2 linked regions of the Arabidopsis thaliana genome follow. The protein of the gene in region 2 interacts with the protein of the main gene of each other region in a pairwise test. Each region holds a gene or a part of one and is shown on either strand. Other genes may lie near its edges.

What was found.
Region 1: the proteins of MSBP1 (region 2) and BAK1 interact in a two-hybrid assay, tested with the Arabidopsis thaliana proteins (one study listed by BioGRID).

The regions. Positions count from the first base shown.
Region 1 is NC_003075.7:16,084,498-16,093,084, reverse strand, and holds BAK1 (BRI1-associated receptor kinase), read left to right. Parts: upstream 1-2,307; 5' UTR 2,308-2,796; coding exon 2,797-2,881; intron 2,882-3,150; coding exon 3,151-3,283; intron 3,284-3,365; coding exon 3,366-3,437; intron 3,438-3,606; coding exon 3,607-3,750; intron 3,751-3,877; coding exon 3,878-4,018; intron 4,019-4,469; coding exon 4,470-4,541; intron 4,542-4,647; coding exon 4,648-4,719; intron 4,720-4,794; coding exon 4,795-4,871; intron 4,872-4,983; coding exon 4,984-5,115; intron 5,116-5,192; coding exon 5,193-5,534; intron 5,535-5,631; coding exon 5,632-6,026; intron 6,027-6,107; coding exon 6,108-6,431; 3' UTR 6,432-6,774; downstream 6,775-8,587. Other genes in the region: AT4G33440 (Pectin lyase-like superfamily protein), read right to left, coding at 643-1,065; AT4G33420 (Peroxidase superfamily protein), read right to left, coding at 6,980-7,359, 7,449-7,611, 7,709-7,897, 7,984-8,370.
Region 2 is NC_003076.8:21,209,966-21,216,750, forward strand, and holds MSBP1 (membrane steroid binding protein 1), read left to right. Parts: upstream 1-2,974; 5' UTR 2,975-3,155; coding exon 3,156-3,475; intron 3,476-4,249; coding exon 4,250-4,592; 3' UTR 4,593-4,646; coding exon of another isoform or gene 4,647-4,654; 3' UTR 4,655-4,877; downstream 4,878-6,785. Other genes in the region: MBD13 (methyl-CPG-binding domain protein 13), read right to left, coding at 1-17, 125-248, 362-508, 644-742, 1,586-1,669. UniProt on the Arabidopsis thaliana protein: MSBP1 can bind to multiple steroid compounds with different affinities. Negatively regulates cell elongation and brassinosteroid signaling. May act as a coreceptor with BAK1 and enhances its endocytosis.

The DNA of each region.
Region 1 (8,587 bases), on a different chromosome or scaffold from region 2:
TGAAAATGTGCTCAAACACTAGCAGACAAACTTTTAATCAGAATCAAACTTGACAGCAAAAAAACTCAGTAATAATTTAATACTAAATTAGGAGACAACACAAGTAATCTGATAGATCTAGTTCGTACATGAACATGCTTCAGACAAAAGTTGTCTATACATCTAACTCCTTTCTTGGAATATGATCATATAAAAATGGTTTCTTCCACTTGACTTTTTTTTTGTTACAGCTACTATCGAGACATCACAAGAACATTCATTGAACAAGTCAATCCGAAATTAACAAGTGTTAATACAAAATTCATGCAAAACACTGACTTTTGATATGCAAATCCAGATTTCGCACTACTAGAGACTATCCCCACTCAAAAATAACAGCTTTTTTGCTGTATCAAACAATGGTGGGTCCATTTTAACCACTGACCGTGATTAGCGAAATGAATATAGTGTTTACCAACAAAACTTTATGAACCCACAAATCAAAAAGCAATCACAAACCCAAATTTTGGATTCTCACAGAGCAATCAACAACTAATTGAATTCTCTTAATACTACTACTGTTCAGAACCAATCAACAACAAACAAAGCAAAAAAAAAGTAAACTTTATCAATGTGTTAAAGAATTCAAAACTTTGATATAACCTTGGATCCCAAAATGAGAGCGCCGCGTTCGAGAAAGAGCGTGAAATTGCTGGTGAGGTTGAAGCTTCCAGAAAGCCACGTGCCCTCCGGGACATTGAGCTGGGCCCCACCCTCCGCCGCAAAACCTTCAAGGTGCCTTACGGCGCGGCGGAAAGCGGCCGTGTTCGACGTCTTTCCGTCTCCAACACCGCCGAAATCGGTAATCGACATAACGATCCGGTTAGGGAACGGGTCGTGATTGAAAAACCCGGAGCAGGTAACAGGGTCGTCATATTGAGAAGTCGGGATCCAGAGAGGGAGAAAAGAATTGGAAGAGATTTGGAGAGAGAGAATCGCTAAGACGGTGAAAACAAGGAGAAGAAACGCCCACGAAGGTCTTGTAATGGCACTCAATACTGTGGTCGGATTCTTCTCCGGTTCCATTGTTTTTTGGAAACAGAGAGAAAACTCAAAAGCCCATGAAGCAAGCTCTGAGATAAAATTACAAACAGAAGAATGCTAAAGTGGGACTTTTAGATGGTTGGAGAGAATTATGCATGTGTGTGGCAATGATTAGCGTAGTGTGGTGGTGACAACAAACAAAGGTGGAGGAAGATAGAAAGTCGATAGATACCTTACCTCGAAAATTCGTCTCTCTCTTTGATTATTTTTGTATATATAAATAGAAAAAAGTAGTAGTAAATAAGAAAATTGGATACAGACACAGATATGTCGTGAAAAGGGCACTAAAATATTGGATGGTGCATGTGAATCGTCAAAAAGTGGCAAGGAGAAAGTGAAAGTCTTCACGAATTATATTTTGGTTTATATATAAAAGAAGAAGAAAGAAGAAGAAAGAAGAAGAAAGAAGATGGATGATACACAATCGGTCACGGACTCACGGGTAGGAAGGATTGTGAGGCGTTACAATCTCGTCAGACTTCCAAGTCTTAATCTGATGGGCCTTTAAATAGCCTACTGTACTGAGTTGTTTGTTGTGTTTTTGTTTTGTTTTTTAATGCCAAACTAAGGTATATGTCCGTATTTTATTGCTGGCAACATATACTCTGTCCGTTTGTGTTTTTTGTTTTTTATTTCATTTTTCCTCAAAATTACTTTTGTTCTTTTAAAAATATTAAATGGCATAAATAGTTAAACTATCAACCAGTAAATTATATATGATACAATAATGTTTTTTGTTTTGTTTAATTCATTGGACCAGATGGATTATTCAGCTTACATTTTTCAATATTGAATTGTAATTTTTTAGAGCTATAATCTTTAAAAAAGAATAAAAAAATCAAAAAAGCTTTTGCTCATCTTTGGAATAAACGAACTTGCTATTAAGACCAAGCCCAATAAACAATAAAAGCCCGAAAAAATAGAGCTGGGCCGGTAATTAGGATTATGATGATGGTATATAACTCACTATCAACTATCATGAGTTCATGACCATCATGGTTTATATCTAATGTCATATGATGGATGATGATAAGGTGGGCGAACATAACAAACATGATTCGGAATGAAGTCGTGCGTCTTTGACTTTGACTAGCTCTAAAAAAGCTTTGAAAATGCTCGTCCACGTCATCATCCTCTTTGTCGTTTTCTCAATCTTAAATGTCATTTTTTTAATATAGTTTTCACAGTACAACAACTCAACCCAGTAAAATCCCTTCTTTAAGCAAAGAAAATAATTAAAATTCGTCTTCCTTCCTTGCTCTCGGCGATAACTTGGTTTCTCTCCTCTCTCTCATCTCTCTTTGTTTCGACCCTTTTTTAGTATATTTCCAGGAAATATCTTCTTCCTCCTTTCGTTTTCTCTATCTCAGTTTTCTCTCTTCTCAGCATTAAGTAGTCAACGGTCAGCGATCTCGGCGTTCCTTCTAATCGGAAAAGTCTAGCTTCAGTTTCTTTTTTTTTTGCTTTTTTGGTTTCCGCGATTAATCGATTTGGGTATTTTGATTTTCTCTTCAAATTAAGTCAACGGGTGGATACGCGTTGAGAGGGCTTTTCTCGTATTCTGCTTCTAATTTCATCATCTTGGTATTACCTTGTGTGGGTGGTAGCTTAATCGAAGGATTCGAGATCCCTTTTATCAGGGGTTTTAACAATGATGGATTTTCTCTGATGAGGGATAGTTCTAGGGTTTGTTTTTAATCTCTTGAGGATAAAATGGAACGAAGATTAATGATCCCTTGCTTCTTTTGGTTGATTCTCGTTTTGGATTTGGTTCTCAGAGTCTCGGGCAACGCCGAAGGTTTCCCCTTTCTCTCTCATTCTCTTTCAATTTTTCATTCTTTCCAATTAAATTAGTTTCCCTTGTTGAGTATTTTGATTAGTATAGGCTTATGAGAGCTTGTTCTCACCTAAAGAAGGCATTTTTAACTTATCTGTTACTTGTTTTGCTGTATTGACTTGAGTTATATTTGGGTTACATCTGTTTCGACTGATTCCAGTGATTATGTATCCTCGTGACACTTGATGATTGCAAAGTTTGATTTTTTCTTCTTCTTTGGTTAATTGTAGGTGATGCTCTAAGTGCACTGAAAAACAGTTTAGCCGACCCTAATAAGGTGCTTCAAAGTTGGGATGCTACTCTTGTTACTCCATGTACATGGTTTCATGTTACTTGCAATAGCGACAATAGTGTTACACGTGTGTAAGTTTCTTTCTATATCTAGCCAAGATGATTCGGATTTTCGCATCTACTGAGAATTTACTTGAACTTCATTTTTGCTCAGTGACCTTGGGAATGCAAATCTATCTGGACAGCTCGTAATGCAACTTGGTCAGCTTCCAAACTTGCAGTACTTGTAAGTCATCTTTTCTTTAAAAGGCCGTCTTTTAACTTTTGGTGTATGTGGGATGTTAAAAATGTTACAATGTTCCAAATAACTGCATAATTTTGCATTATCATAGATTATTAGTTATATATCTTTCCGATCTTATGGTGAAATTAATATTAAAGAATGGTAATGACAGGGAGCTTTATAGCAATAACATTACTGGGACAATCCCAGAACAGCTTGGAAATCTGACGGAATTGGTGAGCTTGGATCTTTACTTGAACAATTTAAGCGGGCCTATTCCATCAACTCTCGGCCGACTTAAGAAACTCCGTTTCTTGTATGCACCATATTCTACTCTCTTCTTTTAATACGTTTTTAATAAGCAGCCTAATTATTGTCTTTAGTTTCCTTGATCGTGTTTGTCTTCCTGTAAAAGCTATTCGTGCAACGTGTTACATTTGTAGGAGTCAGAAAGTAGTGTCGCCAAATAGATGCTACGTTATTTTACTAGATGAAAAGGTGTTCTCTTGGAGACTAGGATGTTGTATAATATGGTCTATTTTAATTATGAGCTTTCGTAAAAGGAATCAGAACTCTATCCTTGTGTTCGCTTAATTTTACTGGAACAACACAAAGTTCCGAATTCAGGTGACTGTCTTTTTGGTTGTTCTCGTGTGTCACCTTTGTGATCTTCAATGGTAGTTATTGACTCGCTTATTTTGTATGAAATCGATTTGGTTCTGGAAGAATGAAATTCTATCAAAGATAACAATATTCTTCTGCCTTAGAATTTAAGCGCTAAACCCTATTGTTACTTATTAATTTGTGAGTGCTCTGTAAATCTAGAGGGTGAACGCATCTAAAGTAGTAAGTCGCGCTAATTAGGAAAATATACTTGATTTTTCAATCAGCTTCATATCTGTTGGATGAGATTTTAGAACAACCCCTACTTTTGAAAGTCTTTTAAAGTTTGTATTTTTGCTCTCACTATAAACTCATTACTGGTTAATGTATTTCCACTTATTCATGACATTCTCTTTTTGTATTGGTGGTTAGGCGTCTTAATAACAATAGCTTATCTGGAGAAATTCCAAGGTCTTTGACTGCTGTCCTGACGCTACAAGTTCTGTGAGTGTAACTTTATCTCTCTCAAATTCCTCTGTGTTCATGTTTCTGATTATTGTTTGGCCGATCTTGGCATTAAGTCAGAAAATGATATCATCTTATAATGCAGGGATCTCTCAAACAATCCTCTCACCGGAGATATTCCTGTTAATGGTTCCTTTTCACTTTTCACTCCAATCAGGTTTTGCATCCTGCTCCTAGTTTAAATCTTGGTGGAGAGGTCAGAATGTTTGATTAATTATTTGAAATTTTGCAGTTTTGCCAACACCAAGTTGACTCCCCTTCCTGCATCTCCACCGCCTCCTATCTCTCCTACACCGCCATCACCTGCAGGTTTTTTTTTGTATATGTCTTTGTCTTTGAAATGTTATTCAACTGAATAAGTAAACATTTTAAGCAGATCCATTAAGTATTAAGAAAGAGATTGTTCATTTCATTCTTGCAGGGAGTAATAGAATTACTGGAGCGATTGCGGGAGGAGTTGCTGCAGGTGCTGCACTTCTATTTGCTGTTCCGGCCATTGCACTAGCTTGGTGGCGAAGGAAAAAGCCGCAGGACCACTTCTTTGATGTACCAGGTTAGCTAAACTTGCTTTACCTGTTTCCTCATTAACACTTCTCTTGCTGATTTTTTTTTATTACCGTCTTTTTGCAGCTGAAGAGGACCCAGAAGTTCATTTAGGACAACTGAAGAGGTTTTCATTGCGTGAACTACAAGTTGCTTCGGATAATTTTAGCAACAAGAACATATTGGGTAGAGGTGGTTTTGGTAAAGTTTATAAAGGACGGTTAGCTGATGGTACTTTAGTGGCCGTTAAAAGGCTAAAAGAGGAGCGCACCCAAGGTGGCGAACTGCAGTTCCAGACAGAGGTTGAGATGATTAGTATGGCGGTTCACAGAAACTTGCTTCGGCTTCGTGGATTTTGCATGACTCCAACCGAAAGATTGCTTGTTTATCCCTACATGGCTAATGGAAGTGTTGCCTCCTGTTTAAGAGGTATCTCTCATCTTGTGCCTTTTTCTTTGACTGCAATATTTCCGTCCAATGGTTGCCTTTTTATCCGTAGTAATCTTATATTTTATTTTCTCCTTAGAACGTCCCGAGTCCCAGCCACCACTTGATTGGCCAAAGAGACAGCGTATTGCGTTGGGATCTGCAAGAGGGCTTGCGTATTTACATGATCATTGCGACCCAAAGATTATTCATCGAGATGTGAAAGCTGCAAATATTTTGTTGGATGAAGAGTTTGAAGCCGTGGTTGGGGATTTTGGACTTGCAAAACTCATGGACTACAAAGACACACATGTGACAACCGCAGTGCGTGGGACAATTGGTCATATAGCCCCTGAGTACCTTTCCACTGGAAAATCATCAGAGAAAACCGATGTCTTTGGGTATGGAGTCATGCTTCTTGAGCTTATCACTGGACAAAGGGCTTTTGATCTTGCTCGCCTCGCGAATGATGATGATGTCATGTTACTAGACTGGGTATATACATATATGAGTTTCCCACTTGTATAGTTCATTATCTGTGTTACCTCTATTTGTGTTAATTATTCATTTCGACAGGTGAAAGGGTTGTTAAAAGAGAAGAAATTGGAAGCACTAGTAGATGTTGATCTTCAGGGTAATTACAAAGACGAAGAAGTGGAGCAGCTAATCCAAGTGGCTTTACTCTGCACTCAGAGTTCACCAATGGAAAGACCCAAAATGTCTGAAGTTGTAAGAATGCTTGAAGGAGATGGTTTAGCTGAGAGATGGGAAGAGTGGCAAAAGGAGGAAATGTTCAGACAAGATTTCAACTACCCAACCCACCATCCAGCCGTGTCTGGCTGGATCATTGGCGATTCCACTTCCCAGATCGAAAACGAATACCCCTCGGGTCCAAGATAAGATTCGAAACACGAATGTTTTTTCTGTATTTTGTTTTTCTCTGTATTTATTGAGGGTTTTAGCTTCTGCTGCTCCATATTATTGGTTCTTAAGTGAATACATGAGGATCAGATTGGGTTTGTAAGTGTTATATGATGAAAAAGGATTTGAATGTTGTTGAAAGCTAAAACCCAAACATGTCTTAAGCTCACCACTTGAGGATTGTTGCGCACTTGATTCACAAATATGTATCCCATCAATTATTCTTTTTCACCGTGCGTCAGGTTTCTTTTCTTACCGGTTTCTGTGTTATCATGTGATTTCTAGATCCGGAGATTGTTCAGAAGAAAAGGAGACTTTTGCCTTTAAATAGCAATTGGACAAGAAAATGCAACCAAAGTATATTACTTTTTGATGGATATCTGAACCACACAAGCAATAAGTATACAACTGCATATTACGAGAGTACACAATTTTTACATAGTAGCCTAGAAGATTCATGATTCTTCATATAACAAGAGTAGAGAACTTATTATAAATACAAAAATCGTAAGTAGATGTGGTCTAGCCTAATTAATACTCCGACAATTTTGACGGACTTCACCTTGAGAGCCAAGTTTAACATCAAGATTGCTCATCTTGCGCATGGCCTGTTGGAAATCAAAGAAGAACTTGGCTTGGTTAAGTGCATAGCCGTTAACAAGATTCCTGGTCCTTGGTGTGTTGAATAAAGTTTGGTCTGAAAAGAGGACTCCTGATTTCATCTGAAGCGCATTGAAGTAAGCATTGTCGAAATCGTTGCGCGTAGCATCAAAGGGTTGCTCTGCATTGTCACCCGCGCTGCATGTTTTAGAGAGAGTGTTTGCAAAAGTCGAGTCTAATGAAGAGTCTGGGACGGTAAGTCTAGCCTTGAAGGAGGAGCATCGTGCAACTCCTAGGGTATGTGCTCCTATATATATATCCCCACAAATTATTAAGTTAAAACCAAATTAGATTATCACACACAATACACATATATTAGTTCTTTAAAGAACTGACCAGAGAGAGCAACAACATCTTGTGGAGTGAAACCACGTTGGCCAAAAGTTTGAATGAGTTGAGAGGCATTAAGAAAAGGTGAAGGTAGATTTCTTGTATCTTCTATCTTTGATCTTTTACCATCAAACCTTCCTTTCGGTATGTCATAATATGGACCACCAGCCTAACAATTTCAATTACTAATTATGTTAAGTACACTAATTAATCATATTTACTATAATCACATAAAGGTAATTCAAAAACGTGATCAAATAAATTACCCAAAAGACAGCATCTCTAGCAGCCATGGCAACTATATCTGCGCATGATACAACTCCTGGACATCTATTCTCGATTTTCTCCTTTGCATCATCGATGATCTCGTAGCCACGTAGACTCAGATTCGCAGGCGAATCCTTTTCCGCAGTGTTGTCTTTCGTTGAATCTAGCAGAATTGACGCATCACATCCCTTATTATGAACCAAAAATTACACATTAATTTTAAGGGTTTTTCTACGAAAAAAACACAATTAATTAAACAGAAAACGTTAAGTACCTCGATGAAACAGTCGTGGAACAACATACGGATAAGACCAGCGGCTAAAGTGGGATCGGCTTGAAGAGCATTGTTAACACTGTTCTTCACAATCTGTTCAGCGAAAGGACAGCTCATCATGTAGTAAGTCATACTTAATCCCCTCGCATGAAAAGGAAACCCAACGATGGCATGCATCAACAGAACCATGCTCACTATATTTGCCCTAACCATCTTATTATTTTGTTTCTTAAATCTAGTCAACATGATAAAGATCAGTATAATTAAGATGTTTAATTCACTATGTATATCTCTTATATATAGAGAGAAGGCAGTCGCACTCAGACACTGAGACACGCTTGCTTCGTAATTCGTATTGGAGTGGTTGGAACATGGAATACATATCATTTTGTATTAGTTGGTCCCATAATGAGTTGGAAGCAGATTAAAGTTTTGGGATAGTGGTCTATTATGGCTTCCCGCTTACTCTTATCATCGTAAAAAACTATTCAACTTATTCTATTCCTAGTGGCTGACCTAATATTTGCATGTTATTGCATGAAAAGTGGCACGTAGTGTTCCACATATGACCATTTCTTTCCTTTGCCAAAACCCCAAAACCCGA
Region 2 (6,785 bases):
GTCAGAAGTCATTTTACCTGCATATATAATCGAATGTTGACACTTACTTAACGTAACTCACGGCATAAGTATGATTATACCCTGGCAAGTGGCAAAATCAGAACCCAAAAGACTTTGTACTTACAATTCTTGGAATGTTCATCAGAAGAAGATAAGTTTCTCCGTTTACTTCTTCTGACATCATCTATCGTTTTCTCTTTTTCCAATACATCATCTGCAGATCTCTTGTCCACATACTCCAGACGAAGCTAAAATCAGACAGAGAAAAGTTAAGAGTTAAAAGATTAACAGAAAATTCAATCATTCAGCTATAGTGCTTTCCATTAAACTAACTATAACAAAAAAGGAGAAAGGAACTCACAACAGTCTTTCCATTTCCGGAATCATCATCTTCGATATCACTTTCTTTCAATTTACGTGCATAATGTCCAATATTGCCAGTCTCAACATACCGTGATGCGTCTTTGAAGGATTGAAAGATATACTCACTTTTAGGGTCAATGAAGAACTGCAAAATCAAAAACAAGACATGTCCAAGAAGAATCACATAAGAGATTTTCTAAAGTGAGCTTATGTGGAAAAGACACAAAATGTACTTTTGATCAAAGATGATGTTATCACAAAGAGAGTAGAGGGTACAAACTGGATCTCTTCTGGTTTTACGGCCTGATCTATTTGTTATTTCAAGTTTCTTGATCCATCCTTCAGGTAAACCTTGAGCAGCAGATTTCTCAACTATAACCTGTATCACTTAAACATAAAGAGTTTTTCATTTTAAGAGACGTATAAATGTCAAATCTTTTTAGGGATCACAAAGAACAAAGTAACATTGTCTTCAAACATATAAACAACACAAAACTCTCAGATATTCTGTGCTTATGAACTTTCCATGAACAACCTAATACCAGACCCTTGCCAATATAAATGTGATTCATCTCAAAACTTTCCCTTTGCATACGCGAGAGGTACAAAGTTTTAGTGCTTACGAATATTACAGTATTCTCTCGAAGATGGTTACTTAACAATCCAAATTCATTTTCACAAGATCTATTACTCTTAATGTCTAACCATCTCAGTAAAGTAACCATATAATTCCTTTTCACACGAAGTAAACTAAGAGACAAACTTTTAAAAATTCAAGAAAAACTTAAAAAAAATAAACATCTCCAATCATGCACACAAGTAATAAGAGCTTTCTAAGCCACAGTGGAACCAAGTAAAATCAATTGAGTTCAAAATGTAGCTACATAACAAAGCTTTGATCAAACTACATCATCTATAACAAAACAAAAAGTCAGGTCAAGACCATTTTCAGACACTTAATCAACTAGACCTCTTCTCTTTTGATCACATGTCATCTTTCCCTAAAAGCTAAGCATTGCATGCAAGAGAAAATCACTCAAACGTCACAAAAGACTTCACCTTTTTCCATCATTACAAAATCATACAATCAGAAACTAAGAGTGAATCAAAGTATTTGGCACTTCAATAAAGATAACTACAATTTCCACAAAAGGAGCTAACAAGAACCAAACATGCAAAAGACAATCAAAATTAAGAAAAGGGTTTAAAACTCATAAATCACCTTATCCTTTCTCCCATTCTTCCTCACTCTAATTTCCACTTTCCTCTCAGCCGACAAACCATCAGAGATCCCTTCTCCGTTCATCTCTCCGGTCACCGTAAAACCACTTTCCTCTCTCTCTTGTATCCCTGATTCACAACTCAGAATGGTTTATCAACTCAAAACGCCAAAACCCATCAAGAATTGTCGGATTCAGATAATGGACACCGTCGGAAGTTATAAAGAAGGAACCTTTTTATTTTGTCTGATTGTGTGATTTGGTTCTGTCTCCACTAAGGTAAATAAGAAAAATAGTAGGATTTAATGGGGAAGAAGAAGAAAGGGTTTACACGTGTAGTGTGGAGGAGTTTCAATGGAGATTCCCCGATTTGAGAGGTTCAAGAAAACTCAGTCCACCAGCACGCGAGTCTTCTGGCCCAACGCTTCTCTTCTCTGATTGCAATTTAGCTCATTTTCTCCATTTTATTCTCTTGTACTGTTTGTTGTTTACTTCCATTGTTATTGTCCCAATTTTAAAAAAACTTACACTGTATATTAAAAAACATTTGCTTGATTTGGTTATAAAATCTAATTGCAAATCTATTTATGATGATATTTTTTGGGAAACATTTAAGACTTTGTTATCATTTTTTGACCCAAAAGAAAAAAAAAATGTTATTATTGTAAATGTTAGGATTGGAAGATTTATCATGAGAAGAAAAGTGAAAAATACTAATATAGTCAATTATGAATTTTCATAAATCTGAATTAAATATAATTTATTTTTACTTAATATATAGTTTTAATTACTTTTTGTTTAAATTTATGTTATTAAATTTGGTATTTGTATATCATGTTTAAAAGATTTAGAAGTATGATTTTATTCTATTTCTAGTGATTTAATTATTGAAACTTTGATTTTTAAAAAAGTTTATGTATTAATAAATTATTTGGATTGAAGGTTATATCAATGTTATAAAATGTGTTTTAAAATCTGAAAAGTGGTTGATTTTTTCTTTTTAAATTCTGCATCCACGAAACTTATTTTTCTTAAAACTTATTTTTCTTTTCGAGGTTATGATTCTTTTTAGTTTTTTTTATCAAATTTCATGATGAAAATAACTGAATTGAACATCAAAGATTTTCAGAAAATACTCTACTGCTTTTTTCTTAACTATATTCTAGCCATTTACATATCTAAGCTTGATGTCTTTTCTATTTCGTCGAAAATCTATCTATTTTACGGCAGAGACTTGAAACCCGAATTTTGACATATCAAAAACACTAACACAATCCCATGTACTACATTATCATTTGTATTTTACTTATAGAAGAAAATAACTTTTTATTTAAAAATTGTATGGTAAAAATAAAGATTAGTTCCCTAATAACTATATAAAAAATCTTATTCGGTCGTTTTAGCTGTATTTAACTTTTAAACCCAAGAAAGAAAAAAATCAATCAACCAAGGAAGTAGTACAACAACAAGAGTCAAAACCCAACAACTCTCTATCTAGCACAAAAGCCTGACTTTTACAAAGACAAGCCTTTTCAACACACTACTGATCTTGAGAATCCTCTCTTCAAAGCCATGGCGTTAGAACTATGGCAAACTCTCAAAGAAGCAATCCATGCTTACACAGGTCTTTCTCCTGTTGTCTTCTTCACTGCTCTAGCTCTCGCCTTCGCCATTTACCAAGTCATCTCAGGCTGGTTTGCCTCGCCGTTCGATGATGTTAACCGACATCAGAGAGCTAGATCCTTGGCTCAAGAGGAGGAGCCACCGATTCCTCAGCCTGTTCAAGTCGGTGAGATCACGGAGGAGGAGCTTAAACAGTACGATGGCTCTGATCCTCAAAAGCCCCTTCTTATGGCTATCAAACATCAGATCTATGATGTTACACAAAGCAGGTGAAATTTCTGAATCTAAAAAGCGAAATTAGGTTATGGGTTTGATTCATTGTTTCCTCTAATCTTGTTTTAGCGTATAAAGACTTGGACTTTGCATACTTTTATGATCTATAAAGCTGTGAGAATCGTAAAGTTGTTCACTTTGAGAATCAATTTCACAAAGGAGTTTTGTTTTGAGAATCAATTTCAGAAAAGCACATTGGAAAAGTTGATCCTTTTTGTTACTTTTATACAAGAGAAAGATTCAAAGGAATATGTTTTTGTTGTTGATGTTTGCTAGTGATTGAGATCATGTTGTGAAATATCTTAGCTCTATCTTCGAGTATAATCAATCTCTTAGACTGGTTTTAGTGTCTCAAGTGTTGTGTTTGTAATGAAAGGTTGGATTTTTATTGTCTTCCTCAAATCTCGTTTTACTCTATAACAACTTGGACTTTGCATAGTTTTATCTATGAAGCTGTGATATCCATAAAGTTGTTCACTTTGAGAATCAATTTCACAAAAGTTGTGCTTTTCTATGTAATCGAGCTTTTGAGTGGCATAGTGTTAATTTACCCTTTTGCTTCCTTCATACAAGAACAGGATTCAAAGGAAGTTGTAATATGTTCTTGTTGTTAATGTCTGCTTGTGGTTGAGATCTTTAGTGAAAACTCTTTGTTAATCTTTGAGTATAATGAATTGATCATCTTCTTATGATAGTCTAGTCTGGTTTTTGCGTATTTAAATTAAATGTTGTGTTTGTGATGAAAGGTTTGATATTTATTGGTTTTGTAGGATGTTCTACGGACCAGGAGGACCATATGCTTTGTTTGCAGGGAAAGACGCTAGCCGAGCTCTTGCAAAGATGTCATTTGAGGAGAAAGACTTGACTTGGGATGTCTCTGGTCTTGGTCCCTTTGAGCTAGATGCTCTTCAAGATTGGGAGTACAAGTTCATGAGCAAGTATGCTAAGGTTGGTACTGTCAAAGTGGCTGGTTCAGAACCTGAAACCGCATCTGTCTCTGAACCCACAGAGAATGTTGAGCAAGATGCTCATGTAACCACAACGCCTGGGAAGACCGTTGTTGATAAGAGTGATGATGCTCCTGCTGAGACTGTGTTGAAGAAGGAGGAGTAGAGCCCATTTCCAAGATTTGCTCTGATTTGTCATAGAGACCAGTTTTATGAAAAGGATTGTAGAATCTCTAATGTTGAAGTGTCAATGATAATCTTGTTTTACTTTCCCAAAAAATAAAGATTGCTGATTAATGATAAGAAAAAAATGTTTTATAAACTGCATATCAGAAGGCGTTGCATTGCATGATTACAATGTAGTCGAGTTCATACTTGTGGTTTGTGAATCTGCATGATTAATCTGGAAACTAAAACATTAAACCTGATCCTTTTTTTGTAAATTCTCTTCATCCTTTTGGTTACTACTATAGGAAGTTTTTAAGTTGGTCACTAAATCCATATCAATTGGGAAATAGAGTATTCAATTGTGATCCTCGATGTTTAAGAATTGGGGCAAAGAAGACAGTTGACCACGTTCTTCTGAGTGTTCCTTGCATTGCAGATATGTGCGCTCGATCTCCTCAGCACTATGGAAATTTCGGTGTCGTCGGTATTTGCAAATTTGGATATTCTTTTCTTGGAACAACCTGGCTCTTCAAAAGATTTAACCTTTCCATGGATTATTTGATACATTGGAAGGCACGTAATGATAAGGTTTTTAATGATACATTTGAGAAACTGCACAGCTGCAAGAACATAAGACAAGTACCTTTGAACAACGGTCTTTATTACAAAAACTGGAGTTTGAAGTCACAAATTAATGTTTTATAAAATAGTTCATTTTTTTTGGTAAACATGTGAAGATTTTATAGATAGTTGATGGAAGGAGACTCGATATGTTTTCAAATATAGGTTGGATCGGTTTTCATAACGACATAGAAGGATCTCTTTTTAGAGTTAGGAATCTATGCATAAGCCTTTCTCCTATGATCAAGCATCAAAGTACATCGGTAACTATCTCAATGGACTGTTCAAAGCTAAAAGAAAATTGACAACTTCCTGAACATTTTAGCCAATTTTCTCAACATATTTGGAATGGTTTGCAAGACTCAAATATTTGCTCTCTTCTGGCTTTCTGTTATTCTTGTAATTAGAATTGTCTTGCTAACTTGTTAGCTAGCATGTTGTTCACCACTACATTTTCATTATTTTAAGTATGTAAGACCTATAGTTCTATATACACCATCGATTTGGATTACCGAACCATTTTGATATATGTGTATGTATTTCAGTCGACAAAAAAAAAAAACTTCTAAGATCAGTTTAAACTGAATTTTGGTTATCGCCTTCTCTGCGATCATGGATTGGGTTGGACCTAGACATATGGGCTTAAGATACGTTTTACAAGCTGTCATGATGAATACAATTATTGTCTTAAGTGTCACGAGATATTGAAATCGTCAAAATAAGCCAAACATGCACCAAGATATCAACGCACATGTAGTTATTATATAGCAATAGTATTCTAAACGTAATGAACCGTCGATGTATCGACGTGTACTTTTTGCATTCACTTTCTTTTGTCTTCAAAAATAAAATGAAAATCAGAAATAAAGAGGTGTAATATTATCCACGTAGGAGTTGAGATCTACGACGACCAAACTAATCGTTAGGAAAGGTTTCAAAATTTGAGGTTCTTATCCAACCAACGCTAACGTAATGCTAATCTCGTGTTTCCATTTCTTCTTCCTTTAATGCGATGTCTCTCTGCACCCAATAATTAAAAAAAAAGTTTCTTTACATTTTTTCTTCTAAGAGAATTTTTTTGGCAAGTTGGTGACATGGTGTACTTCCCATACTTATCCATATCCCATTGCTCTAACTTTTTGTTGCTAAAAGCTAACTTAAGGAGTGATGAAGATTATAACTCATAATCAATCTAAAAGATAGACTCTTAACCATTTCTAATCACCACAATGTTCAAAGATCATATTTGGAGCTAGTGGTTATTTAGCCATGTGCATGGTCTTATTTTGATAGATTACCTTTTTGGATTGTTTGAACAAAAACATAAATACATGTAGCTAATTTCGATATATTAATTACTTTTCTAGTTGGAACCATTCGGAGAACAGCAAGTACCAATAACGTGAATGCATTTCCATTTAATATCACACAAAAGAAAAGTTCCATGTATCATGAATTTAGCAAATTCCATTTATAAATATTTGGCTTAACTAAAATTATATACATGGTTTCTTCTACATCTAGTAAAAAAAAAAGATAGATAAACCATGATACCTATGTATATGTATTT